Sus scrofa: one gene and its partners. The protein of the gene in region 2 interacts with the protein of the main gene of each other region in a pairwise test. Links are inferred from orthologs where the notes say so. Each region holds a gene or a part of one and is shown on either strand. Other genes may lie near its edges. The genes, in order: LRRFIP2, ATPAF2, PKP4, FSBP, LZTS2, SORBS2 and PAK5.

The links.
Region 1: the proteins of ATPAF2 (region 2) and LRRFIP2 interact in binary tests that used the Homo sapiens proteins (3 or more experiments, as listed by UniProt). The two-hybrid records come from large-scale screens. The link is inferred for Sus scrofa from reciprocal best matches to the Homo sapiens genes ATPAF2 and LRRFIP2.
Region 3: the proteins of ATPAF2 (region 2) and PKP4 interact in binary tests that used the Homo sapiens proteins (3 or more experiments, as listed by UniProt). The two-hybrid records come from large-scale screens. The link is inferred for Sus scrofa from reciprocal best matches to the Homo sapiens genes ATPAF2 and PKP4.
Region 4: the proteins of ATPAF2 (region 2) and FSBP interact in binary tests that used the Homo sapiens proteins (3 or more experiments, as listed by UniProt). The two-hybrid records come from large-scale screens. The link is inferred for Sus scrofa from reciprocal best matches to the Homo sapiens genes ATPAF2 and FSBP.
Region 5: the proteins of ATPAF2 (region 2) and LZTS2 interact in binary tests that used the Homo sapiens proteins (3 or more experiments, as listed by UniProt). The two-hybrid records come from large-scale screens. The link is inferred for Sus scrofa from reciprocal best matches to the Homo sapiens genes ATPAF2 and LZTS2.
Region 6: the proteins of ATPAF2 (region 2) and SORBS2 interact in binary tests that used the Homo sapiens proteins (3 or more experiments, as listed by UniProt). The two-hybrid records come from large-scale screens. The link is inferred for Sus scrofa from reciprocal best matches to the Homo sapiens genes ATPAF2 and SORBS2.
Region 7: the proteins of ATPAF2 (region 2) and PAK5 interact in binary tests that used the Homo sapiens proteins (3 or more experiments, as listed by UniProt). The two-hybrid records come from large-scale screens. The link is inferred for Sus scrofa from reciprocal best matches to the Homo sapiens genes ATPAF2 and PAK5.

Annotation. Positions count from the first base shown.
Region 1 is NC_010455.5:21,781,886-21,785,649, reverse strand, and holds part of LRRFIP2 (leucine-rich repeat flightless-interacting protein 2), read right to left. Parts: intron 788-3,764; coding exon 667-787; intron 1-666. UniProt on the Homo sapiens protein: May function as activator of the canonical Wnt signaling pathway, in association with DVL3, upstream of CTNNB1/beta-catenin.
Region 2 is NC_010454.4:60,616,179-60,620,447, forward strand, and holds the start of ATPAF2 (ATP synthase mitochondrial F1 complex assembly factor 2), read left to right. Parts: upstream 1-1,463; 5' UTR 1,464-1,632; coding exon 1,633-1,765; intron 1,766-4,269. UniProt on the Homo sapiens protein: Plays a role in the assembly of the F1 component of the mitochondrial ATP synthase (ATPase).
Region 3 is NC_010457.5:65,619,687-65,623,450, reverse strand, and holds part of PKP4 (plakophilin-4), read right to left. Parts: intron 1,610-3,764; coding exon 1,057-1,609; intron 1-1,056. UniProt on the Homo sapiens protein: Plays a role as a regulator of Rho activity during cytokinesis. May play a role in junctional plaques.
Region 4 is NC_010446.5:42,302,064-42,306,360, forward strand, and holds the start of FSBP (fibrinogen silencer-binding protein), read left to right. Parts: upstream 1-1,308; 5' UTR 1,309-3,709; coding exon 3,710-4,083; intron 4,084-4,297. UniProt on the Homo sapiens protein: Transcriptional repressor that down-regulates the expression of the fibrinogen gamma chain. Represses transcription of GSK3B gene promoter via its interaction with APBA1.
Region 5 is NC_010456.5:112,076,480-112,081,033, forward strand, and holds the start of LZTS2 (leucine zipper putative tumor suppressor 2), read left to right. Parts: upstream 1-1,731; 5' UTR 1,732-2,171; intron 2,172-3,348; exon of another isoform or gene 3,349-4,491; intron 4,492-4,554. UniProt on the Homo sapiens protein: Negative regulator of katanin-mediated microtubule severing and release from the centrosome. Required for central spindle formation and the completion of cytokinesis.
Region 6 is NC_010457.5:46,724,422-46,728,621, reverse strand, and holds the start of SORBS2 (sorbin and SH3 domain-containing protein 2), read left to right. Parts: upstream 1-1,142; 5' UTR 1,143-1,198; intron 1,199-4,200. UniProt on the Homo sapiens protein: Adapter protein that plays a role in the assembling of signaling complexes, being a link between ABL kinases and actin cytoskeleton. Can form complex with ABL1 and CBL, thus promoting ubiquitination and degradation of ABL1.
Region 7 is NC_010459.5:18,481,654-18,485,417, forward strand, and holds part of PAK5 (serine/threonine-protein kinase PAK 5), read right to left. Parts: intron 2,635-3,764; coding exon 2,501-2,634; intron 1-2,500.

The DNA of each region.
Region 1 (3,764 bases), on a different chromosome or scaffold from region 2:
TCAGATTGGAAAATAAGTCTTCCCCTGTGGGAATCACACATTATCTAACTGTATGCAAATGGCTGCTGAAATCTCCCTATTGTGGAAATTACTGTGGATACAGTAGGCATTTAAAAATAATATGGGGTCAAAAGTAGAAAGGGAGAAAAACTGAAATAGATTTAGTTTATTTAAACTGAATAGGCTTACTTTGTGGCCTTGTTTTAAATTCTAATGTAGATGAATCGGGGTTAACACTACTGGGAAAATTCTCAAACTACTCAATAGTAGTGTGACTTCAAATATCCCCCTCCAATTATCTAAGATAATTCCATAGCAAAACATGTAATTAGGAAGGATGCTTACAGATGACACAGGGATGTGGAAAATGAGAGTGTCACGAAGTCACCATGTGCAAAGTGTTCTAGAAGTCACTTTGCCCAAAACGGGGGAGAGCAGTACCTCGTCACCCCTTGAAGCACAGTCCTCATCACCCCTGCAAACACACAGGCTAGAAGCAGCCTCTTCAGGTCCATGACTGATCAGGACGGCTGTTCTGGTCTGGCCAAGGACTGACCAATCTCAGAACATAGCTTGAGAAACGTGAGCCGTGGGATCTAGTGCCCGTTCGCACCCCACCTAGGACACAGCCCGCCCCACGTGGAGTGGTGCCCAGCCCAGTCCTACTCTGCATCTCGATGAACTGCAGGTCTGAGCCGTTCTGCAGTCCTGCAGGGTCACCCGCCACGCCATCGTTCCTGGAGCACTTCTGCTGCTCTTCTTCCAACTGCAGCTTCAGTTTTCTAACCTGAAGAGGAAGTAAAGGCTCACCAGTGAGATCCAGTCTCTCAAATGAAACTGATGCTCAGCCCAGTGGCCACATCTTAGAGCAAGGCCGCATGTATTCCTTCAGAAGCTGTTTTCTGCAGGGCCTGCCATGCGGGACACTACTCAGTTGCTGGAGAGCAGCTACGAACAGATTATCAAAAGAGGCTCCAGGACTGGGGGTCCCAAAGCAAACAGCCATGTTTTGTTATTTGTGGAAAAACACATCTTCTGTGTATTTTTTTGTTGTTATTTTTATTAAAAATGGAAAATCCCATGGGCAGTTAGATGTTTCAGAGTTAGGTTAAATATTCTTATTTAGAAAACTGTATAGAGAAATAATTGGAAATATATTTTTGAGTTTGGCTATGTAATCTACCTTATTTTACCCAAAATAAAGGCCATTCATAGCAGTATTCATTAATAGCCAACACAAGAAATGTCCATCAACAGAGGGATGTGCAAACTGTGGTGCAAATATGCAACGGAATCACTACTCAGTAGAAGAGAATGTGCTACCAATACATGCAGCAACATGGTCAATCTCAAACTAAATCTATGCTGCGTGAAAAACCCCAGAAAATGCAAACTGAAGGGACAGAAAGCAGATCAGCAGTTGCCTGGAGAAGGGGAGGGAGGTGGGAGAGAAAGGAAGGTATACAAAGAAACACAGGAACTTGGGGAGTTACAGATATTTTCACCGTCTTGATTGTGGTGATGGTTTTACAGGCTCTGCCACAGGTTAAACTGTTGTCCCCTCCTATGTAGCAGTCCTAACCCCCAGGACCTCAGAATGTGACCTTATTTGGAAACGGTCACTGCAAGTGCACTTAGCTGAGAAGAAGTCGTACTGGAACAGGGTGGGCCTCTAGTCCAGTATGACTGGTGTTCTTAGAAGAATACCATCTGAAGATATGGTATATACACAGGGAAGGCATGTATAGACACCGAGGATGCCACCAGAAGCTAGAAGAGAGGCGTTCTCTAGCTGACTTCCCATCACAGGCCTCAGAGGAAACTCACGCTGATAACACAGGACTGTGGGCATCCCATCTCCAGACTGTGAGACAGTACATTTCTGTTCTATGCCAGCTGGTCTGTGGTGCTTTGTTATGGCAGCCCAAATACGGGTATGGACATCTGTACACTTTAAGTATGTGCAGCTGATTTTATGCCAATTATTACCTAATAAAGGTTTTTTTTTTTTTTTAATTTACAAAATAAACTAAAACATAACATTAGGAAGGACACTGGGTTGGAATAAAAGAAGGCCCAGTCAGAGGCAGGAGTCCCACATGTGGAAAATAAGGTGAGATGAACAGAGACGAACCGCATGCTGAGGCCTCTGGTCCACCCTCAGTGCGCACGCTGCGTGCAGCTGGGCCTATAGCTTCAGGCAGAAGACAGAGCTCTCTAGAATTCTGACTAGACTAAAATAAAAGACAATATGCTCACATTGAAGGTTCCTGACAAAAACATCAGCCTCATCAATCTTCACAGAAACTTGAATGAGCCCCACCCACAAACTCAGAGCTGCCCACCAGCTTTTTAGTATTCTACTTTCAAAGTGAAGACAAAAAAAATACATAAAACAGCATGTAGAAGGAAACAAACTATGCAGATAGAAAAAAAGAATTAAGAAGCAAACCAACCAGCCCATCAATATCCTATGAGATATATGAAAATATCTGAATCATTGAAATGACTGCAGAAATTGAAACCCAACAGAAATGAGAAGATAAAAATCTTTTAGAAAGCAGAACAAAAGAGATGAAAGGGGACAGAAAAACAGGAAAGAAGAGTAAGAAAGTGAGAGTATATGTCTCAAGGACTAAACCACTCCTCCAACAGAAATCAAAGCCCCAAATGCCAACAACTCAACTTCAGAGATGCAGGAAGCAGCACAAACCAGAGCAAGTCTGCCCTCTCCTACAGGGGAGGATCATTAACCCATTATACCACAGTGGGAACTCCTGTGATTTCCTTCTTTAAAAGAAAAAGATGGGAGTTCCCGTCGTGGCGCAGTGGTTAACGAATCTGACTAGGAACCATGAGGTTGCGGGTTCGGTCCCTGCCCTTGCTCAGTGGGTTAACGATCCGGCATTGCTGTGAGCTGTGGTGTAGGTTGCAGACACGGCTCGGATCCCGCGTTGCTGTGGCTCTGGCGTAGGCCGGTGGCTACAGCTCCAATTCAACCCCTAGCCTGGGAACCTCCATATGCCTCGGGAGCGGCCCAAGAAATAACAAAAAGACAAAAAAAAAAAAAAAATTAAAATTAAATAAATAAATAAATAAAAGAAAAAGATGAATGACAATGATTACAACAAAGAATTCTAAACCCACACCAAACTATTTATCACGTAAGAAGGTAAAATGAAGACATTTTTAGTCCTGCAAAGTACAGCCCCCAAACTTTTTCCTCAGGAAGCTACTGGGGGATGAACCAAAACAAGAGAATGAAAAAAGGAGGAAGGGAGTTCCCGTCGTGGTGCAGTGGTTAACGAATCCGACTAGGAACCATGAGGTTGCGGGTTCGGTCCCTGCCCTTGCTCAGTGGGTTAATGATCCAGCGTTGCCGTGAGCTGTGGTGTAGGTTGCAGACGCGGCTCGGATCTTGCGTTGCTGTGGCTCTGGTGTAGGCCGGTGGCTGCATCTCCAATTCGACCCCTAGCCTGGGAACTTCCATATGCCGCGGGAGCGGCCCAAGAAATAGCTAAAAAGACAAAAAAAAAAAAAAAAAAAAAAAAAGAAAAAAGGAGGAAGGCATAAGACACTGCCAAAGGGAAGCTAGCCCAAACCACGGCCGTGGGTCAAGGAAACAAGAGATGACAGTGCAGAGTGGTCACAAGGGAGTAGCCATTAAGCTCAGAGGGGATGAGTCAGATGCTCCAAGAACCAAAAAGAGGGAGCTGAGGGAATACTTGGTGCATCTGAAAACATTCAACCACTGCTGGAGTCTG
Region 2 (4,269 bases):
ACATGGGGGAGGGGGTGGACACCCTCTCCCTGCAGGTCAGAATTTCCGCTTGGCCTCCAACTGGAAGGATCCGGGGATCCAGGTCAACACGGGGAAGGAAACAGCGTATGAGAAATAACGCTGGGTGAGTAACGTTTCCCAGTACTTGGGTATCAGAGACCTGGAGGAGGTCCTGGCTGTGTAGATAAAAGCCAAGAAGACAGAAAGCAGGTCTGCTGGAACCAGGAAGGAGGAGAACACAGATACCGGACGGGGAGGTCTGGGCAGACAGGCCAGAGAGACTGGGAGTGGACTGGAAGTGGCCAGGGAACCGGGGAAGGGACTCTGAGAAGCCTGGGCAGGAGGCCTGGCCAGGAAGAGGCTCCCAGGCCAGCTCCCAACAGACTCAGAGGGCCCGGCCTGAGGGGTGGGGCAGGAACCAGGGTGGGCTGGGGGGGGGGGGGTCTCGGGCTCAGGGGACGACGGAGGGAGGCGGCTGACTAAGCTCTGACAAGGAGGAAATCCCAGCAGGAGGAGGCGGGCCCCAGGGCCTGAGGCTTCCCGGGGGGACGAGGAAAGCGTGGCGAGGAGGCACGCCTCGGGTCTGGGAGGGTCCCGAATCAGGGGAAGCCACTGGAGAGCTCGACAGGGTCGGAGAGGGGCTGGAGGAAGAGCTGGTCCTGGGGCGACAGGCCACAGGGAAGAAGGGCCGGGTCTGAGGCGGCCGATTGCCGGCTTGGGCCCGGTGGGGCTCCGGGCAGGCCGGGGCGGGGGAGGCCGACCGAAGGCCTGTCGGCGGCCGCGGGCTCGAGGCGGCGGCGGCGAGGCCCGGCCCGTGGGCGCCGCGAGAGGCCCGGCCCCGGCACTCACCTGCAGCACCACCTCCACGTCGTACGAGTTCCCCTTGCTCTTCTGGTGGCCGCGGAACTTGGAGCCGCTGTAGAGCAGACTAGTAGCCACGCCGGGCTGCTGGGTGTTGATGGGCGGCGGCGGGATGAGCGAGGCGGCCGAAGCGGCCGAGGCACCGGCCGGCGGGGGACACTCGGTGCGGACCGGCATCGCGGGGTCCCCCGGAGCCAGGGTTGGGGGAGGGGGAGGAACCGCCGCCGCCGCCGCGCGGGAGCCGAGGAGGGCGGCCGGGGGCAGGCCAGCGCGCGCGTGGGGCGGGAGGGGTCCACCTGCCCGCCGCCTGCGGACCGAGCGCTCCGGCCGCCACCGGGACCCCGGGACCTGCGAGCGGGGCCTCCGGGTCCTGAGCGAGCCCCCTCCCCGCCTGCGCTCGCACACACACCCCTTCCGATTGGCTTGGGCGCGCCGTGGGGCGGGAGCAGGCTGGCACTGCGCTTCCGCCCATTGGCGGGCGGAGACAGCACGTGGCAGGCGCCGAGGCTCTCTGGGACTTGTAGTCTTCTTCCGGAGGTGCGGTGCGGGGGCGGGGCCGAGGCGTTTGTGATGCTGATTGGCTGCGGCGTGCGGGGGAGCGCGGCGACGGCGCGCCGCGAGTGTCGTGCACAACATGGCGGCGCCCAGGGATGCTGAGGACGCCGGCGGCCGGTGAGAAGCTGCGTGTGTCCCGAGTGCGCGGCGAGGTCGCTACGTCCCGTGTGTCCTGCCCTCAGATCTTGCGCGGTCGTCCTCCCAGGTCCCCGCGCGATGTGGAGGACCTGCCTCCGGCTGCGGGACGGGGGACGCCGCCTCCTGAACCGGCCCCGGGGTGGCCTCATCGCCTCCGAGGGGCGGGGGCCCAGTCCCCCGACCCCCGCCCGGGCGTACGCGCCCCCGGCAGGTGAGGGAGGCCAGGTCCGAGCCGGGCTGAGGGGTGGGCAGTGCAGGGCGGTGTGGCAGAGCAGGGTCATAGGTCGGGGGGAAAGTCCCCCGCCCCAAGGGCAGGGACCGCCCCAGGGCACACGCGCGTCGCGGCTGGAGACAGTCGTTTGCTTTTGCACTGCGGCTTTCGTCCCTTCTCTTAGGGAAGCAGATGTCATTCCTGTTCTCCGACAGGGGATATTAGGATTCTCGGTCAGGATCGCGCCAAGGTCACAGAGCAGACTCTCTGAGAGGTTTGTGAGGCAAGGGCCGGGTCTGCCGGGCTTTCTGTGTCCCTGCGACCCTGGCACTGAAGGAGCCCAGAGCCCAGGCTTTCAGTCGTCCATCCCGGCCACTTTGTCCGCAGATGTCTGGCCCTTCCTCCTACTGCCCTCCCACAACCCCTGCTATCTCTACTAGGGAGTTGACACTCCGTGCCTTCTTCCTACACTTGCGACTCTGAAGCTTAAAAGGTAGTGGCTCTTTCATTGCTTCTGGGGAGAGGGTTTTAGGGTAAGAGCAGAGGTGATTTCCTTTAGCCTTTGTTGTAAAGCTGGTTTAGTGGTGCTGATTTCTCTTAGCTTTTGCTTATCTGTAGAGCTTTTGATTTCTCCTTCAAACCTGAATGAAAGCCTTGCTGGGTAAAGTAATCTTGGTTGGAGGTTTTTTCCTTTCATCACTTTAAGTATATCGTGCCACTCCCTTCTGGCCTGCAGAGTTTCTGCTGAAAAATCTGTTAATAACCTTATCGGGGTTCCCTTATATGTTATTTGTTTCTTTTCCTTAGCTGCTTTCATTATTTTCTCTTTGGCTTTAATTTTAGTCAGTTTGAGGAGTACATGTCTTGGGGTGTTCCTCCTTGGGTTTATTTTATATGGTACTCCTTGTGCTTCCTGGATTTGAGGGAGTGGTTCCTTTCCCATGTTAGGAAAGTTTTCGGCTATTATATCTTCAAATATTTTTTCTGTTCCTTTCTCTTTTCCTTCTGGCAACCCTATAATATGGATGTTGGTGTGTTTAACATTGTCCCAGAGTTCTCTTAGACTGTCTTCATTTCTTTTCGATATTTTTTCTCTTTTCTGTTCCACATCAGTGATTTCCACTAGTCTGCCCTCCATCTCGTTTATTTGTTCTTCTGCCTCCTGCATTCTGCTGTTGGTTGCTTCTAATGAATCTTTGATCTCAGTTATTGTATTTTGCATGTGTGCTTGCTTAAGTTTTAAATCTTGTACTTTTTGCTCAATGTTTGCTGTAAATTATCAGTCTTTCCCTTCAGTTTATTTCCAATGTCTTGCATCATATTCAGCATCATCAGTCTAAAGAATTTTTCCTAGAGGCTGATAATCTCCAGATCCTTTAGCTGTTTTTCTGGAGTTTTTTCTTTCTCTCTTATCTGAATTATAATTCTCTGCCTTTTCATTTTTATAGGTTTTTGGTGTGGTGTCTTTTTTTGCTGTAGCCTCTCTTACTTCTGATGTCTGCCCCCCCCCCTTGTGGCTGAAGTTGGTACAGGGGCTTGCCTTGCGCTTCCTGAGGGGAGGGACTGGTGCCTGCCCACTGGTAGGTGGGGCCGATTCTTTTCACTTTGGTGGGTGGGGCTTTGCCTCTGGGCAAGATTAGAGGTGGCTGTGTGCCTGGGGGGTCTTTATGGTTGGGGCTGTGATCCCACCTGGATTATTGTTTGGCCTGGGGCTGATGGGTGAGGCCAGATTTTCCCCAAGTGGCCACATCTAGAGGAACAAATGCCGTTGAATATTCTGGAGACCTTTGCCTGCAATGTCCTTCCCCCACCATGAACCACAGTCACCCCCTGTTTTCCCAGGAGATCCTCCAAGAACTGCAGCCAGGTCCCATCCAGATTCCTATGGAGCCTTTGCATTGCCCTGGGACCCAGTACACATGAAAGCCTGTGTGCGCCTTTCAAGAATGGGGTCTCCGTTTCCCCCGGTCCTATGCACAAGCCCCACTGGCCTTCAAGGCCAGATGCTCCAGGGGCTCTTTCTCCCAGTGCCAGATCCCCAGGCGTGGGGAACTGACGCGGGGGTCAGAACTCACCCCCATAGGTGAGTCTCTGTGATAGTTACTTTCCAGTCTGTGGAGCTTCCCACCCGGGAGGGATGGGGTTGCTTATATGACGTAATCGCCCCTCCTGCCCCGCGACGTGGCCTCTTCTTTGTCTTCTGGAGGAGGGTATCTTTTTGAGAGGTTCCAGTTCGTTTGGTTGAAGGTTGTTCAGCATTTGGCTGTCATTTTGTTTTCATGAGAGAAGGGGCGCTCCAGTCCTTCCCCGGGAGCCACTCCCTGGAGTGAGAGACACATTCTTCTTCCCTTGGCTTAGTGTTTCTGTGCTGAGGGCAGGAGGCACCGAGGCCTTCAGGAGAGAGGCGGCCTCCACCTAGAGGGTGTTCACTGTCAAGTGCGGAAGGTCGTAACATCCTGCTGGGACCAGAGCCTCTCCGGGCCTTTGAAGAGGAGTGTACAGAG
Region 3 (3,764 bases), on a different chromosome or scaffold from region 2:
TTCCCATCAGGATGCTAAAAATCAAGGCAGTAGGTAAGGAAATCCACATTTTAGTCTGCACTATTAAGGCATTTAAAAAAACATTTTTTTTTTTTTTCCTTTGAGGGTTGCACCTGAAGAAAATGGAAGTGCCTGGTTTAGGGGTTGAATTGGAGCTGCAGCTGCCAGCCTCCACCACAGCCACAGCAACATAAGATTCAAGCCATGTCTATGACCTACACCACAGCTCACGCAATGCTGAATCCTTGATTCACTGAGCAAGGGCAGGAATCAAAATTGCATCCTTACTATGGACACTAGTCAAGTTTGTAACCCACTCAGCCACAATGTGAACTTCTAAAAAAAAAAAAAAAAAAAAATTTGAACAGACATTCTTCTTCTTCTTTTTTGGGGGGGTCTTTTTAGGACTGCACTTGTGGCACATGGAGGGTCCCAGGCTAGGGGTTGAGGAGTTACAGCCGTTGGCCCACGCCACAACCACAGCAACACCAGATCTCAGCTGCATCTGCGACCTACACCACAGCTCATGGCAAGGCCGGATCCTTAACCCACTGAGTGAGGCCAGGGATCAAATCTGTGTCCTCATGGATACTAATCAGATTCATTTTCACTGAGCCATAATGGGAACTCCTTGAACAGGCATTCTGACGACACCTTTTAACATAACTTATTGGTTTGGGTATGGGTAGGCCTAGCTAGTGAGAAATATTTCACTATGAAAAACTTCAACAAACAGTTTACAACTCCAACCAATTCTTCTAAAATGCAAAAAAAAAAAGTACCTTGTATATCCTAATATTATAGGGGAAGGGGTACATATATTCATTGTAAAAGAAGTCTGATGATATAAATAAATATATATGTATATATAATTAGATGCATTAAAAATTAGAAAGTCTGAAAGACAAGTCAGCCTAAGGTCTGCAGTATAAATTCTGAGATAAAAATATAAGCTTTTCCCACATTACGGCGATGTGGAAGCCTTTTCTATTTCAGAGAGGCCTCACAGAAGATTTCCCCACTGGGCTGTGTGCAGTGCTGTCACCTTGTACTCACCTGTCAGGCTGTCTGGCCGAGGTGGAACCATCCTCTCGTAAATGTCATACTGCTGCTGTCCGAATTGTTCCATGTCATGAACAGTCCTCTGCAGGGAAGGTCCCAGATGCTGTGGTACGGCGGTCATCCCTGAGCGTTTGGGGGATGATGACCCCACCTGGCCTTGGGATGGGGAAGCTACTCGAGTCTGTGCATCCGTAAGGGTCAGCGGGGACCCCACTCTGGTGGTGGTTTGGTACTGAGGGGTTGGTCCGTTGGGGTTGGAGGTCTGCCGGGAGGTGACTGACCCAATCCGACGTACAGCTGATGGGGAGGCGGGTCTCTGTGCAGAGTACGGAGAGGCTGCCCGCTGAGCAGGTAGCGTGGTGGAGGAGTACGCACTGGGGTTCAGTGGTCGGGAGTCGGTCACTGATGGAGAGCCAAAGCCACCACCCAGAGAAGTTCTCAGTGACCCCCTTGAAGGAGACACGCCTGTGCTGATAACATAAGAAGGAGACTGTGCTCTAGATGGAACTGAACTAACTCTTCTCATGGCCCGATTGGCTACTGATGGCTGATGAAAGGGGGAAAAAAGAGAATGGGTTTATCCAGGGTTTTGTCTCCATTGTCATTACAGAAAAAAATGCACACAGCTCACTACAGAATGTGCACTCACTATTTAGTTTAGGCTTCTAAGTTTCTTTTCCTTTCTATGCTTTAGAGCTGGATCTTAATTTTTCCTTATTCTTTTTTTTTTTGGTGATTAAACCCTTACGTTCTCCCTTCGGCATACTAAAACCAACCAGTAAAGAGAGATCTAAAGACAGTTAACATTCCTTTTACGTTTGTCTTTACATTTTTTAACCCTCTGCCTATTCATTCTCCACAACACACAATATGTTGTATTGCAAGTGTGAAGGGTCACTGGAGCAGTATACTTATGTGGTGCCTGTGAGTTAAAGTTTGGCGAAGATAATGCATTTGTGTAAAACAAACAAACAAAAAATGTTTTCAATACGTTAATCTAAATATAGTGAGAGGAGTATCTATAATTGTCTTTAGAACTGTCTTCATGGATTGGCCCCCATTAACAAAAGGAATGTACTCTTTCAAAGTGGAGTAACTGAATGTTTGGATAGGGCCTGGGGTGCAGTACTCTTCTCTGTCAATTTACTCTCAAGGGACAACTTGGGTGCACAGGCGCTTTAGCCAATCTGTCTCTTCTTTTAGCTCAAGTGTGGCTGCTAGTGATTTCAGCCGTTTCTACATCCTTTGATTTATAAGCTTTTAATTTTAGCTGGTGGATTTAAAGAGACGCATGTCAAGGTGCCCTCAAATTTGTTCCAGCAAAAGGAATGCTCAAAATCTCGGCTGGGTTCTTGGCCTAGCCAGCTGGAAAAGACCATACTGGGAAATGAAGAACATTTCTGCCATGACTGGTCCTTTTTTGAATCTGTAGACTCTTCCAGACTGAGTCTCAGATCCTTTCCTTGATGCAGCAGAATAATGAATGGTGGCTGGACTGGGGCACTGGTCTGATGGGACCAGGCAGGGACATGGACTCTAGGACTGGGTGGCTTGGTATCTCCCCAGTGACTGCTACAGTACAGGTGTCATCAACCCCACTTTTAGCCGGGGTAAGAAAGGAAGAAACAGGGATAACTTAAGGACTCTCTTTGTGTCCAGGTGTCAGAAGCAGCTGGCTGGCTGAAACACCTGCTCTAAGACCACTTGTGTGCTCAAACTCAACAATTCTGGGAAGGCAATAGCTGTGGAGATCTGGGGAGGGGACTGTAAATACACAACAAGAAAGAGGGGGTATAAAAATTAGTAGACCATTGGAAAAAGAACTGCTTTTGGGGTTTACTAATAGTGCAAAAGGTGATTTTTAAAAAATTCCACATATTAGCTGTTTACTATCAAAAATGGGATGACACTTGGCCCAGATACTTAGAAATTGTGATGCCAAGACTATATGCAAAAGCAGTTTTATTGCAAAAGCAGTTTTAAAGACCCTCTTGCAATCTTCAGCTCCAGGAACAAAATCATCTTGCTGTAAGTAAAAAAAAAATTAAATAAAAAGGTAACATGACCATTTTTAGGGACAAAATGGATAATCTCTATAGTTAATTAGTATTCAGAAACGTGACTTTAGACCTGCTGATGCAGAAAATTCACCTAAGCACATGAACTCCTGTAAGGACTTAGTCCAAAGCTTCCCGAACTCTTCCATCAGAAGAGTAAATGTACCTCTGAGGAACAGTGGTGCTGGGGTGGGATAGTGGAAGTAGGGGAGGTGGTGGAAGTAGGGGAGGTGGTGGGGCGTGGTACAGCTAGAAGTAGTTTGCTAGGGGTACAGGATTTCCTATCTTAGCTTAAGAACTCATGTATCATATTTGCATTTGCTTTAATACAGAAACGCTTCTTAATGCTTAAAAATTTCCCTTAAACTGTTGGGCCAAAGTTATACTGTGTTTCTCCTTTGGCACTGGGAATCCTGGCCCACTGCTGTGTGTACCTTCAGGGCTTCCTATATTGTACTAAGAGAAGCTTAGTGTTTGCCTAATTTTTTTGATCATCTTGCCACTTTTCTGCTCCAGAGAAATCGCTAGGGTACTTGGACAGACAGTCATCCTCACTGGTTACTGCTAGTTGGGACTCGTAGCACTTCTATTAATTCTGGTGTATGCTGGAGGATTGATGGGAATAAAGCAGCAGTGAATGCAGAG
Region 4 (4,297 bases), on a different chromosome or scaffold from region 2:
CTCTGGCATAGGCCAGTGGCTACAGCTCCGATTTGACCCCTAGCCTGGGAACCTCCATATGCCGCAGGAGCGGCCCAAAGAAATAGCAAAAAAAAAAAAAAAAGAATATATATATATATATTTCTGGAGGCTGGCAGCTATAGTTCCGATTCAACCCCTAGGGTGGAAACTTCTATATGCCATGGGTGTGGCCTAAAAGAAAAAAAAATTCTGGATGTTTAATTCTGATTTGAGGTGACTAAATATTAATTTTTATTTGTTTAGGGAACTGCCTGTCATATTTACTATGTATTTGTTGATAGTGTCTCTGAGTATCGTCTAGTTTATTTTCTTTATTTTCATTAAATATCTTGTTCCTGTGGTTCTGCTGTAGCAGATTGCATTCGGTGTCCAGTGTAACATTTGCCATATGCTTTATTCCATTCTCTTTTTCTTTATTGTTCCAATAAGAGTAGTAACTTTGGCCTCTGCATTTGATTCTGTATAAATGGTATACTTTTTATATTACAAAATTCTTATTTTTTCAGCTAGAAAAATAACATATGATTAAGACAGAATAATTCAGTTAGTAATCAATTAAAATTGATGAAGAGTAGCCTATAATATGTGCTGTCTGAATAAAATATTCAGAGTGATCCATTTAAGTTACATCAGTGCATAGGAAAAAATAATTTAAACAGGTGATGGTGATGTGACTATGTGTAATGTCAAAGAAAAATTGTACCAGGTAAGTTAAACAGGCAAGAAGACTTAATCAAGACTATTACAATAAAGGAGAGAGATTGAAGTCAACTCCTAATACAACAGGGATTTATAGCCAACAGGCAGGGTAAGGGAGTCAGTGGGTGGAAAATTACTAAGTGGAGCTTGGTTAGGTGTTAAGGATAAGTGTATGAAGAATTTGGTTAGGGGTCAAGAGTAGGAGGATTCTACATAAGCAAACAAGTTGTGGGTAATGGAAAAATATGCTGCTTCAGTTAAAAAATGTTGTTTAATTAAAATTGAATAAAATTAAAAATTTAATCTCTCAGTCCCAGTAACCACATTTAAAATGCTCGATAGGCACATGTGACTCATGACTCCTATAATTGGTGGAGTTTTAGATCTTTTTGGAGTGCATTTTCATACATATGTACCTGAATTCTGTAGCTACATACGTATTTTCCGTACCTACAGAAATATTTGGCCTTGGGTGTTTTTTGGTAAGCGTAATGGGATTGTATGTATTTTTGTTTTACTTGTTTTTCACTTATGTATTTTGGATCTTGTCAATACATAGAAATCTGCTTTAATTTTTAAATTTTTATTTATTTTACTTAAGTATAGTTGATCTGCAATGTCTTTTTCATATTCTTTTCCATTATGGTTTATCACAGGATACTGAATATAGTTCCCTCTGCTATACAGTAGGACCTTGTTTATCCACTCTCTCTGTAATAGTTAGCATCTTCTAACCCTAAACAACCAGACCATCCCACTCCCTTCCCCCTCCCTCTTGGCAACCACAAGTCTGTTCTCTATGTCTGTGAGTCTGTTTCTGTATCATAGATAAATTCATTTGTGTCATATTTTAGATTCCACATATAAGCAATATATGGTATTTGTCTTTCTCTTTCTGACTTACTTCATTTAGTATGATAATCTCTCCATCCATCCATGATGCTGCAAATCTGCCTCTTTATTTTAATGCTGCCCACAGTAGACCATAGTGTGGATATACTCTAGTGACTTTAACTTGTCCCAACTGATGTGCAACTGCCAAGAAGGCTTTGTTGGTGTTTGGTGTGTATTTTTCAAGGTAGATTCTGAAAAGTAAAATTACTGCAATTTCAGAAGCTTTTACACATGTAAACTATTAATATATACTCTTAAATTGCCATCCCAAATGCCATTTTACACTCCTGTGAGCGGTACACAAGAGTATTTTTTGCTCTGCATCTTCATCCACTCCAGACATTTTCAGTCTTTAAGAATTTTGCTGATCTTAAGGGTGTGTACATTTCCTTGACAGTGAGATTGAACTTTTTTCATATTTCTATTAGTATTTCATTCTTAACACAATGCCCATATTTCTTCCAAAAATAAAATGTTATTTAAAGACAGGATATATTCTGTGTTCTTGTTTTCCTTTGAGTAACTGGTTAGGTTGTTGGAGCAGGTCAGTTTTCAGTTTGCATCTCTATGACAGGAATCATTTACAGTACTATTTTGTACAGTTTTACTCAACAAAAACTGCTCAAAAACAATGAAAGGCTAGGACTACTAAAGAATGAGATTACTTAGTAGGGTATGTCAGAAAACACCTAGCATTCCATAGAGCTCCCAGCAACCTTTCACTTTTTTTTTCCCTGACAGATAACACGTTTAAAGCTCTTAACCGTATTGTCTGGCTTATAGTGAGAATTCAGTAAATTTAATTCTCTTCCATTAAAAGAACGAAAAAGAAGGCAATTGAAAATTTATGGCATTTCTGTAGAACTGTAGTTCTCTGGATAGGGCTGTATCTAGATTCACTTGTTTTCCTTGGACCTTGCTCAGTACTTGGGAACATTTTTAATGGGGGTTCAGTAATTGTTTGATTGAATGGAACTGTGTTCAAGTATGTTCTAATTCATTCTCCTATCGGACAAACACGTATATCAGGAGAAAATAAGCTTATTTCTTTACATTGTTATTTATCACTTTTTCAGACAGGGATTAGAACATATACTCTAAGCACATAAATTGGTGGCCTTGCAAATGACTACAACTAGCTGTTTCCTTTCATAGTCCAAATTGCGTGAATATAGCTAAATAAAAATCCTCCTCTACAACAATAGCAAATGCGATTTTGTTGTATTCAGTCTTAAGGCATTATTATGCTGTTCTCACTGTGAATGGTGTTTTTTTATACATGGTAAAGCAGGCTAGCATATTTATGTACGTTACAGCTGGAATAATCCATTGCTTTAAAACCCTAATTTTTATCTGTTTTTTAGATTTAGTGTTCAACAAAAATTTCTTAAGTAACTGAAGAAAACAACGCGGTGGCTACTGTAGACTGTAAAATGAAGGAGAAGCTTAGCTTTACTGTGGAGTCTGAGCTGGGTGTAACCTAACTAGCTAGAGGATATGTAATTCCTGATTGACAGCAGGACCAGCATTATGCAGATTTTGTAAGAGAGAACAGCAGCTCAGAAACAGTGATTAGGGGCTCTGTTAGGAATCACTAACATTCACCACTCACATCTTTAGTTTTTCATTTTTCTGTCTACTGGATTTATAAACAAATAGCACAAAACAGTTCCTCTTTTGTTTTTATTAAAGTGATACTGCACTGCAGTTTCAGTCAATCAGCTAGGCAAACGTGTTGAAATTCGATATTCTCACTAAATTAGCTAATTTTTAGCTGTGCTCCATGCTTATCTCTAGACCTTTGTGTATTGAATCCTATCTCGAGCTGTTCTCTTTATACACAAGTGTGTTTTGCTTGTGCCTTCCTGTCTTCTTCAGTGAGAAGCTTTATGTAGGTCAGGCTTGGCTTAAGCAGATTTCCTGAACCTGCGTCAGCTTAAGCTGGAGGAATTTTAATAAACCCTCCCCTGTAGGCGTGGGCCTAAATGAGGCTAGCCTAGTTAAGCCTGATCTTTTTCTGTTTGTGAAAAGAGCTGAGCATAGCTGAAGGCTGCATGGTGGTTTCAGAAACTGCCTACTTAATTTGAAAAGAACAATGGTAGGAAAAGCTAGATCTTCCAATTTTACCTTACCTGAAAAGCTTGATTTGCTAAAGCTTGTGAAGCCATATGTTAAAATTCTGGAAGAACACACTAACAAACATTCAGTAATAGTGGAAAAGAATAGATGTTGGGATATCATAGCAGTTAACTATAATGCAATTGGAGTAGACCGCCCTCCTCGAACAGCGCAGGGCCTACGCACTCTTTACAAAAGGCTCAAAGAATATGCCAAACAGGAGCTATTGCAGCAAAAAGAGACCCAATCAGATTTTAAAAGCAATATTTCTGAGCCAACCAAGAAAGTTATGGAGATGATTCCCCAGATTTCCAGTTTTTGCCTGGTAAGAGACAGGAACCACATACAAAGGTAAGCTTTATTTTATTTTGTTGTGGAAAATTATGGCGCCTCCTATCTATTGGGTTCTGGCTTAGATGTGATAGAGGTATGCATAGTAAGCATCCCCACTAGGGGAGAGTGAATAGTGTCTTTGTTTTGCATTCTTAGAAAAGTGAGGCTATAAGGAGTTTTTCTGCTGCATTTGATTTAAGCCACTTTTTATTGTCTTCCCCTCCCCCTTCCC
Region 5 (4,554 bases), on a different chromosome or scaffold from region 2:
CATTGGCCTCTCTCATTGTGAACTCTGGCTCAGCATATTCTTATCCCCCCTACCCCCCATTTTCCTCTTCTTGCATCCTCTCAGCGTTTATGTTAATGTGTGTCAGGACTGGGGCTCCTGTTTAAAAATGCAGAACCTAGGCCCTGCTGTCTCCCCATTCCTCACACGCACAGGCATTTCTAATTCTGGAGGTTTCAGGAGATGTACAGGACTCCTCATGTGTAAGAAGTCCTGAAAGAAATTAGACGATAATTTATCCAGAGACCCTGACAAATATTCCTAAATAATGACACTTTTCCATTTCATTTCCTCTGATATCCCGAAGTGCCCGTTTCCTTTTAGATTTGCCTGCAGAAGTGGTGAGAATGCAAGCTGTTTTAAAGGGGCTGGGGAGAAACCTTTTGTAGAGGGGGTTGGGGGAGGTTTCCTGCTCCCTGGAAGCAGGGCTGCCTTATCAAGGTCTCCCTGTAACCTGAGAGGAGGCTCTGGACCCCTGTGGGATGGATGGTCTGGGGTCTCTGGTCTGTGGTGTGTGAGAACTGTGACTGCAGTTGTCTTCTGAAACAGACCCTGGAGCAAAGCCATTCCCTGGGGGGGAGGGGGGAGATCCTCCAGGGCCTCCCTTCTTGGGGGTCTCTCCCAGACTGGCTGGAGCCAGCTCTCCTAATCCCACAGTAATCATTCCCAGCCGCTGGCTGGTCTAGGCCTCATCCAGGGGCTACAACACTGAACATCAGCCATGCCTTCCAGATGCACCCCACCAGATCAATGCTACCTAGAAAGGTGTTGGTCTGGTCTCCCTAGAATGCCTGGTGTGTTCTCAGGAAATACTTTAGGAGTTTCCATTAGGGAACTTTTGCGAGGTGTCTGTGTGAACTGGCTATAGAGGAATAGATACACACTTGCCCGGCTTGCCCCACCCTCCTAGCAGACACCACCACACTGCACAAACCAGCTCGGGGGAGGGGAAGCTAATTCTCCCCCAGCCCCACCCCGTACACAAGCACATTCCATTCCACACCTGTCTTAAGCTCCTAGCATCAGAATTAGCCAGAAGTATGTTCCGGAGTAACTGCAGCCTAGAAAGTGGCAGGTAATCCCTAGTTCCTGGGTAAGGTCCCTGGGACTCCCTGTCCCTGTACTCAGCCAAAGTGGATTGAGGCAAATCACCTGGGCTAGAACCAGCATTCCATGTGCCCAGTTGGACATTTAGAACCTTCCTGAGAGCTGAGGAAGAGCCTGACAGAACAGGGTCCCTGGATCTGCAGCGCTGTCTGCTGTCTTCAGACTCATTGTCACACTTAGCTGTGTGGGGGCAGCTTTGGTTCTCCATCTTGCATTTGAGAAGGGACTAAACTCACAAGACTCCGGCTACCCAGGGCTCAGGCTGCAAATACAGCCCAGATACCTGTAGACAGCACAGTCTGCCCTCACAAAGGCCACTTTGGGTGCCATGGAGGGAGGGAGCCCTTGGTTCCTCCCTGCAGTACAGGTCAACTTCCTGTTTGTGCCTGTGGGTGGAACTTTTACGAGTCTAGGAGAAGCGTGGCCATACTCTGTGGGGGCCCAAACCGGCAGGCCGGCTCACCTGGGCCGACACCTACTCGGGGAGGGGGAGGTGCTGGTCCTCAAGGGCAGCCCCAACGCCGAGGTGTGTGTGTGTGAGGAAGGCGGGGTCTGTTTTGGTGAAACCCGAGCCTTCTTTGTCTGCTTCCCAGGGGTTTTCCCCATCTGGGGACTGGGCTGAGCATGGACCAGGATGGGCTCCCTAAAGCGCTGAGGAAGGTGGCTGTAAAGCCCTACAGCCGACTTGGTTAGGACAGCCAGCCAGCTTAGCTGTCACGTGCCACTGGCCCCTTCCCCGAGCTGAAAGACAAATGCTGTAAGGTGTGAAGTCAGAGGCCAGAGGAGCAGTCCTGGGCCACCATCGAGCCACATCTGGGCTGGGCACTGGGTCGGTTGTTGAGGGGGTGCTGCGCAGACCACTCCCCTGTCGGGGTCGGGGGCGCGGCCTCAGCCGCCCCGCCCCGCTCCTCCAGGCCCGGCCGGACGGGCGCTGGGAGTCCGCAGCCCGGAGCGGGCTTGGGAGCCGGCCGATCTGCGGCGAGGAGGTGCTGGCGCTGGAGCAGGAGCCGGGAGGGGAGCTGGAGCGGCGGCGCAGGTGGCCCTAGGTGAGTGCGTGGTGGGGCCGCGGAGGTGTCGGAACTCTAGCTCCTGCACAGCCCCGCGCCGGAGCGAACTTTACCGGTCTTGGAAGGTTGGGGGTTGGAGTGAGGAGGGGAGTCCCCAGTGCAGGAGGCACAAGCGAAGAGTGTGAACAGGGAACCTACACGGAACCTCACACTCACGGGTCCAAACACGCGTACACACAGACCCACGCGCGCACCTGAGACAGACGAACACACGTGCACCCTAAAGAGGACGCGCCCAGTGAGCTGTGCCTGCCGTCCCTGGAACAACGCCACTGGCCCGCGGGACCCCCAGCGGGCAAGGCGCGCTGCTGCCGCGTACTTGACAGGGGTGGGAGGAAAGACCCAGGGACCGCCGACGGGGGCGGGCCGGGTGGGACAACTCCAGAGGTTCCTGCTTTCCGGCAGCCCGCAGGTGAAGACTAAGACGTAAACAGGAGCCGAGCACGTGATCGTAGCGCAGACCTGTGGGCTGTGCTCCCCCCACCCGGGCCTCAGGGCGGGAACCGCCCGCCCCGGTGCAGGACGGGCTTGCAAGGTACCTGGCCGGGCTGTAGTCCATTCTCCACCTCCCCCGGAAGGAGAACACAACGCCCCCTGGAGTCGGGTTAGCGAAGGAGAACAGGAGGCTGTTGGTCTGGCCTGGGGTTACCTGGGCTCTTCGCCCTTCCTTCTCCCCAACATGGTGCCCCATCCCTGAAGATATTGGGGGCGTGGGGGCGATATTCTGGATGGCAGCGTATAGCAGCCAAGGGAGCAGCTACGGCAGCGCCTGTGGGTGCCCTTCCTACTACCACCCCTCCCTGCAGAGCTAGGAGCTCCTCCTTGCAATGTAGGAACAGAAAGCCCACGCATGCAAGAGTGGGAGTCCCCCTTCCCCAGAGAATGCAGGAGCGTGCACATCTCAACACCAGAGAGGGCCTGTCTCCCTCCCGTAGAAGGGAAGACAGCCCCCTCCCCCCAGGGCATGAAAGTGGGCATCGGCCCTCGGCCTCCTTCCTCACCCCACCCCCCACCCCTACACGCACGCTGAGCCCAGCTGCTGCCTGAGCTTCTGGGCTGGCTGCCAGAAAGGGGAGGCGGCTCCTAGTGCCCCAGGAGGCTGGGATCAGGGCAAGGCCAGAAGAGGGGGGGGGGGTCTCTACCGGAGTGGGACTCAGTCTGTTCTTGTGAGCAGAGGGTCTAGGGTGAGCCTGCGGGTGGCTGAGCTGTTTCCCTTTCCAGGGAAAAAGAAAGAAAAACAATCCTTTCCATAGAGCTAAAAATAGAGCTGAGAGCCTGCCAGGGCTGTGGCCTGGAAGGGGGGGAGATGCTCCTTCCTGGGGTAGAGGAGCTGTGGCAGGCCTTGGCCCTGGATGGGGCGGAGTTAGGGGCCTGGAGGCTGTCCTTGTACAGCCGTGTGGGCATCAGCTGACCTGACTGGGTCACAGAGACCCTACGGGAAAGTCTGTGTGATAAAATGTTTGTGAAATACGTTGTGTACATGTAAGAAGACGTTTTTTGACTGTGAATAAGACTGTCAGTGTGTGAAAAATGCTTAGGAGACTAAGTGTATTTAAGATTGTGACTGGGTGCGAAGGACTTCGAGCTGTGAAAGCCTGTGTACAACTAGGCATGTGAAACGAATGTCTCTGTGTGTTGGCCTGAAAGATTATGGGAAGAAGAGACATGGAACCTCGTGATGAAAAAGACTGTATGATTGTGGCTGTGTGAGACTGTGGGAAAGGTCGTGTGGGTGTTAAGACTGTTTTGTTTGCCGAGCTGAGAATATCCGTGACCCTGAGAAGACAGTGGGATGTTGTGTGCTACGCGGCTGTGTAGGTTTGGCCTGTAGGCTTGGATGGGCTCACCTCAGTGACTGTTGGGCCCAGGGGCTGCTTCTCTCGGATCAGTGGCCTCTCTCTTAGGAAATGACTCTGAGGGAAGGCTGGGGAGCACTGAGCCGCGCTGGGGAAAGGCCTAGGCTTTCTAGGGTAAGGTCCCCCAAGGTTGGCGGTGACCGAGTGTGTTCTCCGAATGGGCCGCCAGGTGGCGCCACCTCCACAAATCCAAGCGTGCCTCCTCCAACCGGCTGCGGGTGGGGCAGACACCCACCAAGCCTTGGCCCCCGACTTGTGCTGGGGCGCAGGGCCCCGAATCGGGGGCAACTGACCCTCCGCCGCCCCCTCTGGACTCCGAAGCTGGAGAGTGTGTCTGGGGGAAGAGGCATCGACGAGACAAGAGAAGGGGGAAGGGCGGCCGCCTCGGCGCCTGGCCCTTTGTGCTCGAACAATGACCAGCTGCCGCTGGCCCCGGGGCCCGGGTAGGGGTAGAGGGTGACCTGCCGCCGCCGCCGCCTAATCCTGAGCCGACCGAGACCCCAGAC
Region 6 (4,200 bases), on a different chromosome or scaffold from region 2:
TCAGAATGGTTCCACTTAGGAAACAAGCTTTTTTCCCAAATTTGCCGATGTCTGCAAATAGTATTCTGCCCAGAAGGGAAGAAAAGAGCTAGTATGATTCATTTGAAGCAAATCTCCAAGAATATCAAAATGGAGTATTTATGGCTGTGAGAGGATTGATTTATCTGCAGAAACAGGTACCACTTCTCCCCCTAAAACCAGGGTCATCCCTTGAAATAGGCTGGCTGGGCAACTGCCTCCTGAAAAAGAGATGAGGACCTCTGACCAGCTCCCACCAGCCCCCAAGTAGCTCCCCACACCCCGTGAGCCTCGCATCCTAGCTGGTCCGAAATTCCTGCCCATGGGGTCAATCCTATGTTTCAAAAATACAGATAACCTGCTTAAAATGAATTTACCTGTGAGAGGAAAGTGTGTGCAACTTCCGTTAGCCTCTTTTAGGGACCTTAAATGGTCAGGTAAGCTCCTGCACCCCTTTTAAGGATGGAAGTAGTCCAGAGGCGATTTTCAATTCGTGCAAAGCGTCTGGCCGACAGAGGTTTAAACTGTAAAGAAAGGACCAGAGCTGGGAGAAAGGACCCTTTGAGGAGGGGGGCCTGATGGGGCCTCCGTGCAGGAGGAGTTGGCTGTGGGCAGAGGGATGGTAGCCTGGCACTTGGTGACGGTGGTGGGCCTAGAAAAGCAAAGAGGAGACGGAATAGTGGGTATAAACCCTACAAACACTATAGTCTTGGCCTACTCATTCTATGAAAATGTGGTGATGAAGCTTTGTTGGAGAAAGTTTGTTTTCAAGAAAAAGCGCAAAGAAAGTAGGAACGAATTAGCAAAACAACGCAGGGTTGCCAAAGCCACGCTGCCTGCTTCAGCCCACCTGAGACCCACCTGAAAATACCCCCAATCTACCCAATTCTATTTAATTCTGACGGTTAACTGCAGTATGCAACACACCAAAAATAATGACAACTCTTTGCACAGTTTCCTTTTTGCAGTTGTTTCTTGCAGAAGTACAGTCCAACTCAGTCAAAGAGTGTATATATGATGCTAAAGTTAAGTTTTCCTCAGTTTGATTTCATTGCTGTTTTGGTTGTTTTTGTGATTGCGGTGCCAATCCCGCCCACTTATTTACTGTAACGTTTCTTTTCTAGAGCCAGAATAGGACAGACTCATATACCATTCTGATCTGGGTGCATTTCTTCAGAAGGTACGCTGTGCTCATGGGAACCGCGGCTGCCTGGGGCTAACGAGGCCAGGCGGGAATCAAGGCATGTGTTTTAACAAAATGTTTTCCCAGGGAAGTCAAGGAAATAAAATGATGGGCGCCAAAGAATACGAGGCTCCTCTAACCTCCCCTTGACATCCATTCCTATCCTGTCCCAGCGGAATTTCTGGTGAGATTCCGCAGACATGCCCTTGATTTGCGCTGATTTAAAGGAGGCCAGGGGGGAAATCGGAGGAAGTGAGGCAGGGAAAGGCCAGATGGGTGGTTTTAGAATTCTTTACTCTGCATTATTTTAGAACGAAATATTTTGGCTGGAGGGTCTTAGGAAATCTGTGAGGAAACTAGAACCAGGCCCCACCCTTGTCCTAAAAATCCTCCCACCTGCTGCTTCTCAGTTACAGGCAGGCCCTATAGTCCTATTTGCTATAGCGAGTGGAAGCTTCTTGCTCACTGACACTTCATGGGGTACAGGGAAGTCTCTTATCACCACGAACACCCCTGATGGCAGGACTGCTGTGGGCCTCCAAGCCATGTGCCCATGTGGAATTTTCCCTGGCTCTCCACCTGGCTCAACTAGGCTCCAGTGGTGGACAGGACAGCAAAGCCCTCACCTGGATGTCACTGTCTGTGGCTTCAGGCTGGTTGGATTGCTTCACCTGCCAATGCCCAGGCTTCTTGACCCTCTTTGTTTCTGAAGTCACCCTGGCCAGATGTGATCTGGATTGGACTCCACCATATGTTGTTCATCTAGCTCATCACAGAGGAATCTACCCAAACCTACCCCCTTCCCCTTGGAAACCTTGAGTAGTTCTCTTACCCCTTCAAGGCAAATTGTTGCAACCTTGGATTGCAAAAGAAGAGATGCCTAAAGGGTACCTTGTAGTCCTTGTACTCATTTCCTGGCATTGCCTGAACAAAGAGCAACAAACTGAGTGGCTTAAAACAAAATAAATCGATTGTCTGGCAGTTCTGAGGCTAGATGTCTGAATTCAAGATGTTAGCAGGGTCACACTGCTTTAAAAGCTCTAGGGAAGAATGCTTCCTTGCCTCTTCCCTGCTCCTGGTGGTTGCCAGAAATCTTTGGCATTGCTTGGCTAATGGCAGCATCACTCCAATCTCTGCTTCTGTTGTCACGTGGTAGTGCTCCTTTTTGTTGTGCATGTGTCTCCAGATCTCTCTCTACTCATAAGGACATCAGTCATTGGATTTGGGACCCACTCTATTCCTCTGTGCTTCATCCTAACTTGATTACATCTGCAAGGACCTTACTTCCACATGAGGTCACTTTCCTAAGTGCTGGAACTAGGATTTCAACATATGATTCTGGGGACACTGCTTACCCTACAATCGCCACTACTGGGCATGGGTCATCTCTGAGCAAGAGGCAGCTTCCATGTGTGCATCCCAAATTTGAAGCACACACTTCAGTCCCCAGATTCAGCACTCACCCTCTGCAGGGGCCATGCAGGGCCGTGGCCTGAGTTCTTACCGCCCAGACTGGCCCACCTGGTCCAGGCTATTTCTGAGTGAGGTCAGAGCATGGAGGACTAATCACCCCTCACTATCATTCAGGCACTTTGGTCCATGTGAACTTTAAACCCACAAGTTTCTTTTTCCTAAGTACTATGACCATCCTATAATAGATCATTCATATATATATATATATATATATATATATATATATAATGATTTTTATTTTTTCATTATAGTTGGTTTACAGTGTTCATTCTTTTTTTCACATTCTTTCTGTCACACTTGGATGCTCTTCCGATCCACACACAGTATTGAGATTATCTTCCAAGGGAATGAGTTTTCCTAAAAGCTCATGGGTTCCCTTGATTGTTCTGAATTTAGAGATTTGCAGAATACCCTGGAGTTACTTATTCCTAAACAGACAATTTATAAGCTCATCAATCTCCATTGAACTTCCCATTTTCTACTCATAGATAACTTTTAAAAGGAAACTTTGACTTCCTCAACTGTAAATTGGGTTGGTTTTAAATGCACATATTTTTCAAGAAAGCAGATCACATATCAGATTGTGGAATTTACTATCCACAATTTACCATAATAATCTGTGTGATATTTTTTAGTCCTCCATCTTCACACTAATTTGACTGTATATCCAAAAAGAGACAGAGACAGAGTCAGAATGAGAGAGAGAAAGTCCACTTTCTAAGTCAGTGCTTAGTCACTGCATCTGACTTTGTGTTAAGACAAAGAGAATCCTACTGAAAAAGTAAATACCAAGAGGCTTAGTTAGGTATGACAGTGCAAGACATTTTATAAATATTTTGATACACAGATACGAGAGAAAGTAATTTATGAGATGGTTATTTTGCATTATGCTATGTTCAAAGCCAATTGAAATTCCTCATTTGCATTAACCATCTGAGCTGTTTTCCACTTGGAAGAATGTTCTAGTCTGCGTTCCAGGTCCTTCCATATTAGGTGGGTAGCATTAGAGCCTCTGTATTTGAATCTGTTCAGATGAGACTGTGTATCAAAATAAGTTCTACGTATAGATAAAGTAAGGTTTTAAATTAACCAATGGGATTGAGTTTTTTTAATCCCTAGCCATTTAAAGAATATGAATACTTGACCATGTAAAAAAGATACAAAAGAGTGAGGAGCATGAGTCATTTTTCCCCAATAGAAGGAAATGACCGTTCAGTGATTTTCATAGGAAAAGTATTCAGTAAGCAGATAACATCAGTTATTTAAAAAATATCAACATGACACTTTATCAGTAACAATGGAATTTGGGTAGAACACTGATGGGCAGTAAGGTCAGGGCAAAGCCCCTTCCAGGTTTCAAGATGGTCCCTACTTGCTCACCTGTTTCGGCAGGCAGGCAGTTGCCTGGGTGCCCAGCTCCAAAGTTGGGCAGAATTTAAAGCCTGGACCTCCTCAAGTCCATGACTTCTGGAGCAGGGCCCTGAGCTAGGCTATTAAGCCTGGGTTCTAGTGGCAAATGGACTATT
Region 7 (3,764 bases), on a different chromosome or scaffold from region 2:
CAGCAGAGGTATTCAGGTATTCTTCTATGCTGCTTACATACGTCTTTCTAATACTGCACAGGCGTTGTAATGTATTTATTTCTCTCTTTTTATTTTTTTGGCTACCTGTGGCATATGGAGTTCCCAGGCCAAGGATCAGATCCAAGCCACAGTTGCAACCTATGCTGCAGCTGCAGCAACACCAGATCTTTTAACCTACTGCACCCAGCCAGGGATCAAACCTGTGTCCTGATGCTGCAGAGATGCCGCTGATCCTGCTGTGCCACGAAGGGAAAAATCCATGTATTTATTTCTAATCTGTGACTTCCTTGAATGTATATATCTGAGCCTTACCCATTTGTTATCTTTTGTATTACCAGCATTTAGGAAAGTGCCTGGCACATAAAAAACGATCAATAAATACTTGATGAAATGACCACAACTGGAATACCAGGGAAGCAAGTAGCTGAGGCAACAGTGGTAATTAACCACTGTTCTCTGCAAGAAGACTTAAAAACAGAATTGAAGAATTTCTCTCTTCTGTTGTTGTGACATAAAACTTTGATCTTTCGCCTGCCCCTGCCTTCCATAGGTACCCTCAGTGCTATCAACACACAGCAAAGGAATAGTGACTCAGGAGAACGAAACTGAGTTTTAGAAATCTGTGTAGGGATGGGAAATTCTATTATTTTTCACTGAAAATTCATTCTCAGCAGCTTGCTGATTTAAAATTAATGGGTATCTGACAAAACTGTACTTCAAAAAGGTACATGTACCCCTATGTATAGAGCAGCACAATTTACAATAGCTGAGACATGGAAGCAACCTAAATGTCCACTGACAGATGAATGAATTAAGAAGATGTGATATATACACACAATGGAGTACTACTCAGTCATAAAAGGGAACAAAATAATGCCATTTGCAGCAACATGGCTGAAACTGGAGACTCATACTAAGTGAAGTAAGTCAGAAAAAAGAAAGACAAATACAATATGATATCACTTATACCTGGAATCTAATATATGGCACAAATGAACCTATATACAGAAAAGAAACAAACTCATGTACTTGGAAAATAGACTTGTGGTTGCTAAGGAGGAGAGGGAGGGAGTGGGAATGGACTGGGAATTTGGGGTTAGTAGATGCAAACTGTTGCATTTGGAGTGGATAATCAATGAAATCCTGCTGTACAGCTCAGGGAACTATATCTAGTCACTTGTGATGGAACATGATGGAGGATAATGTGAGAAAAAGAATGTATATATGTGTGTGTGAGAGAGAGATAGAGACTGGGTCACTTTGCTGTAGAGCAGAAATTGACAGAACTCTGCAAATCAACTATAATAGAAAAAACAAAAACCTTAAAAAATAAAATAAAACCAATGGGTATCTGACAAAACTGTAATTCAAAAAGGTATATGCAGCCCTATGTTTATAGCAGCACTATTCACAATAGCCAAGACATGGAAGCAACTTATATGTCCATTGACAGATGAATGCATTAAGAGGATGTGGTACATATACACAATGGAATATTACTCAACCATACAAAAGAACAAAATAATGCCATTTGCAGCAACATGGATGTAACTAGAGATTCTACTAAGTGAAGTAAGCCAGACAGAGAAAGACAAATACCATGTGATATTACTTATATGTGGAATCTAAAAAATGGCATATGGGAGTTCCCATTGCGGCTCAGCAATAATGAACCCAACTAGTATCCATGAGTGGGTTAAGGATCTGGCATTGCTGTGAGCTTTGGTATAGGTCACAGATGTGGCTCAGATCCTGCATTGCTATGGCTGTGGTGTAGGCCAGCAGCTACAGCTTTGATTTGAGCCCTAGTCTGTGAACTTCCATATGCCTTGGGTACAGCCCTAAAAAGACAACAAATAAGTAAATAAATAAATGGCACAAATGAACCTACCTACAAAACAGAAACAGACTCACAGACGTAAAGAACAGACTGGTGGTTGCCAAGGGAGTGAGGGGATGGAGTGGGAGTTTGGGGCTAGTAGGTGAAAACTATTACATTTAGAATAGAGAAGCAATGAGGTGCTACTGTATGGTCCAGGGAACTATATCCAGTGTCTTGGGATAGACCATGATGGAAGATATATAAGAAAGAGAATGTACATATATATGTAGGACTGGGTCACTTTGCTGTACAGCAGAAATTGGCACAACACTGTAAATCAACTATACTTTAATAAAAAAATAGAGTCATATTGATAGAGAAAAAATAAAATGTATTATCAAAACAATTAAAAAATAAAAGTAATCAATGGGCATCAATGAATTTTTGGAGGGTGAGGAGATATAAATGGAATGAATGAACTATACACACATGATATTATAATGGGCACCTGAAGAATACAGAGGAAAAGGATAGTCATGTCTCTGCCTTCAAAGTGCTTACAAGTTATGGAGTGTCCATCAAGAGAGTCACTGAAGCCCACCCCAGAGGAGACAAATAAGACCTTGAATGATCTGTCTGGATAATATAGAAACTTACCTGGTATGAGTAACGATGTCTGTCAAGGCACCGCCTTCTAAAAATTCCATGACCACCCAGAGCTCATCACTGACAAGGTAGCTGTTGTACATGTCAACCACGTTGTCATGGTGATAATCCCGCATTATCACAACCTGGGCAAAATGGAAAGATAGTGTTTGACTTGGGACAGTGAAATTTGGCTTTTTCTTTTCTCATGGCTCCACTTGGGCTGTGAATTCGATTGATGGAGAAGCACGGATTTTGGGGGAGGGTTTTTTTTTTTTTTTTCTTTCAGAAGTCTATTACAGATGATGGGACAGCTTTGAGAGTAGCTAGCAGGATCCGAGGGAATCAAGTTTGTAAATTCAGAGAAGGTGGTAGGTCCACCAGACATTGGGTTGAGGGGAGAACAAGGAGAGAAAGCAGGCAGAACCATGGCAAGGTGTACATTCACGAGAGGGAGTGTAGTTGACCATTCTTGGGAATGTGGTTAGCTAGCCCAAGGGTTGCCTTTTAAAATACACTGTTCAGGGGAGTTTCCATTGTGGCACTGAGGAAACGAATCTGACTAGTAACCATGAGGTTGTGGGTTCAATCCCTTGCCCTGCTCAGTGGGTTAAGGATCCTGCATTGCTGTGAGCTGTGGTATAGGTCACAGATGCAGCTAGGACCCTGCATTGCTGTGGCTGTGGCGTAGGCCAGCAGCTGTAGCTCTGATTCAACCCCTAGCGTGGGAACCTCCATATGCTGCAAGTGCAGCCCTAAAAAGCAAAAAATAAACATTAAAAAGTTAAAATAAAATGCACTGTCCAGAGTTAAGGATCTAGTGTTGCTGTGAGCTGTGGTATAGCTCGGATTTTGCGTTGCTGTGGCTGTGGCGTGCGTTGGCAGCTATAGCTCTGGTTAGATCCTTAGCCTGGGAACTTATATATGCCGCAAGTGCACCCTAAAAAGAAAAAAAATGCACTGTCAATACTCTGCTAATGGTTAACTGGGGAAAAGGTCATCAGCTCAAGGATAATGAGTCTCACAAATGAACAAGGTAAACAGTTATTAGGGCTGGAGCCATATGGGACCACTTGAACTTCTTGGGAGGACTGGGGTTGAGTCTGAGAGAGGTTTGGGCTGAACAAAAACAATAAGTCTTACAGGTAAAACCATTATGACTTAGCATAAAAAGGCCAAATTGTGTTTGCTTGCTGGAGAGAACGTCCAGGAATTGCTGTCCTATGGCTGCTTCTGGTGACATTTTTAGAATGAGTGTTAAATAATAAATTATACA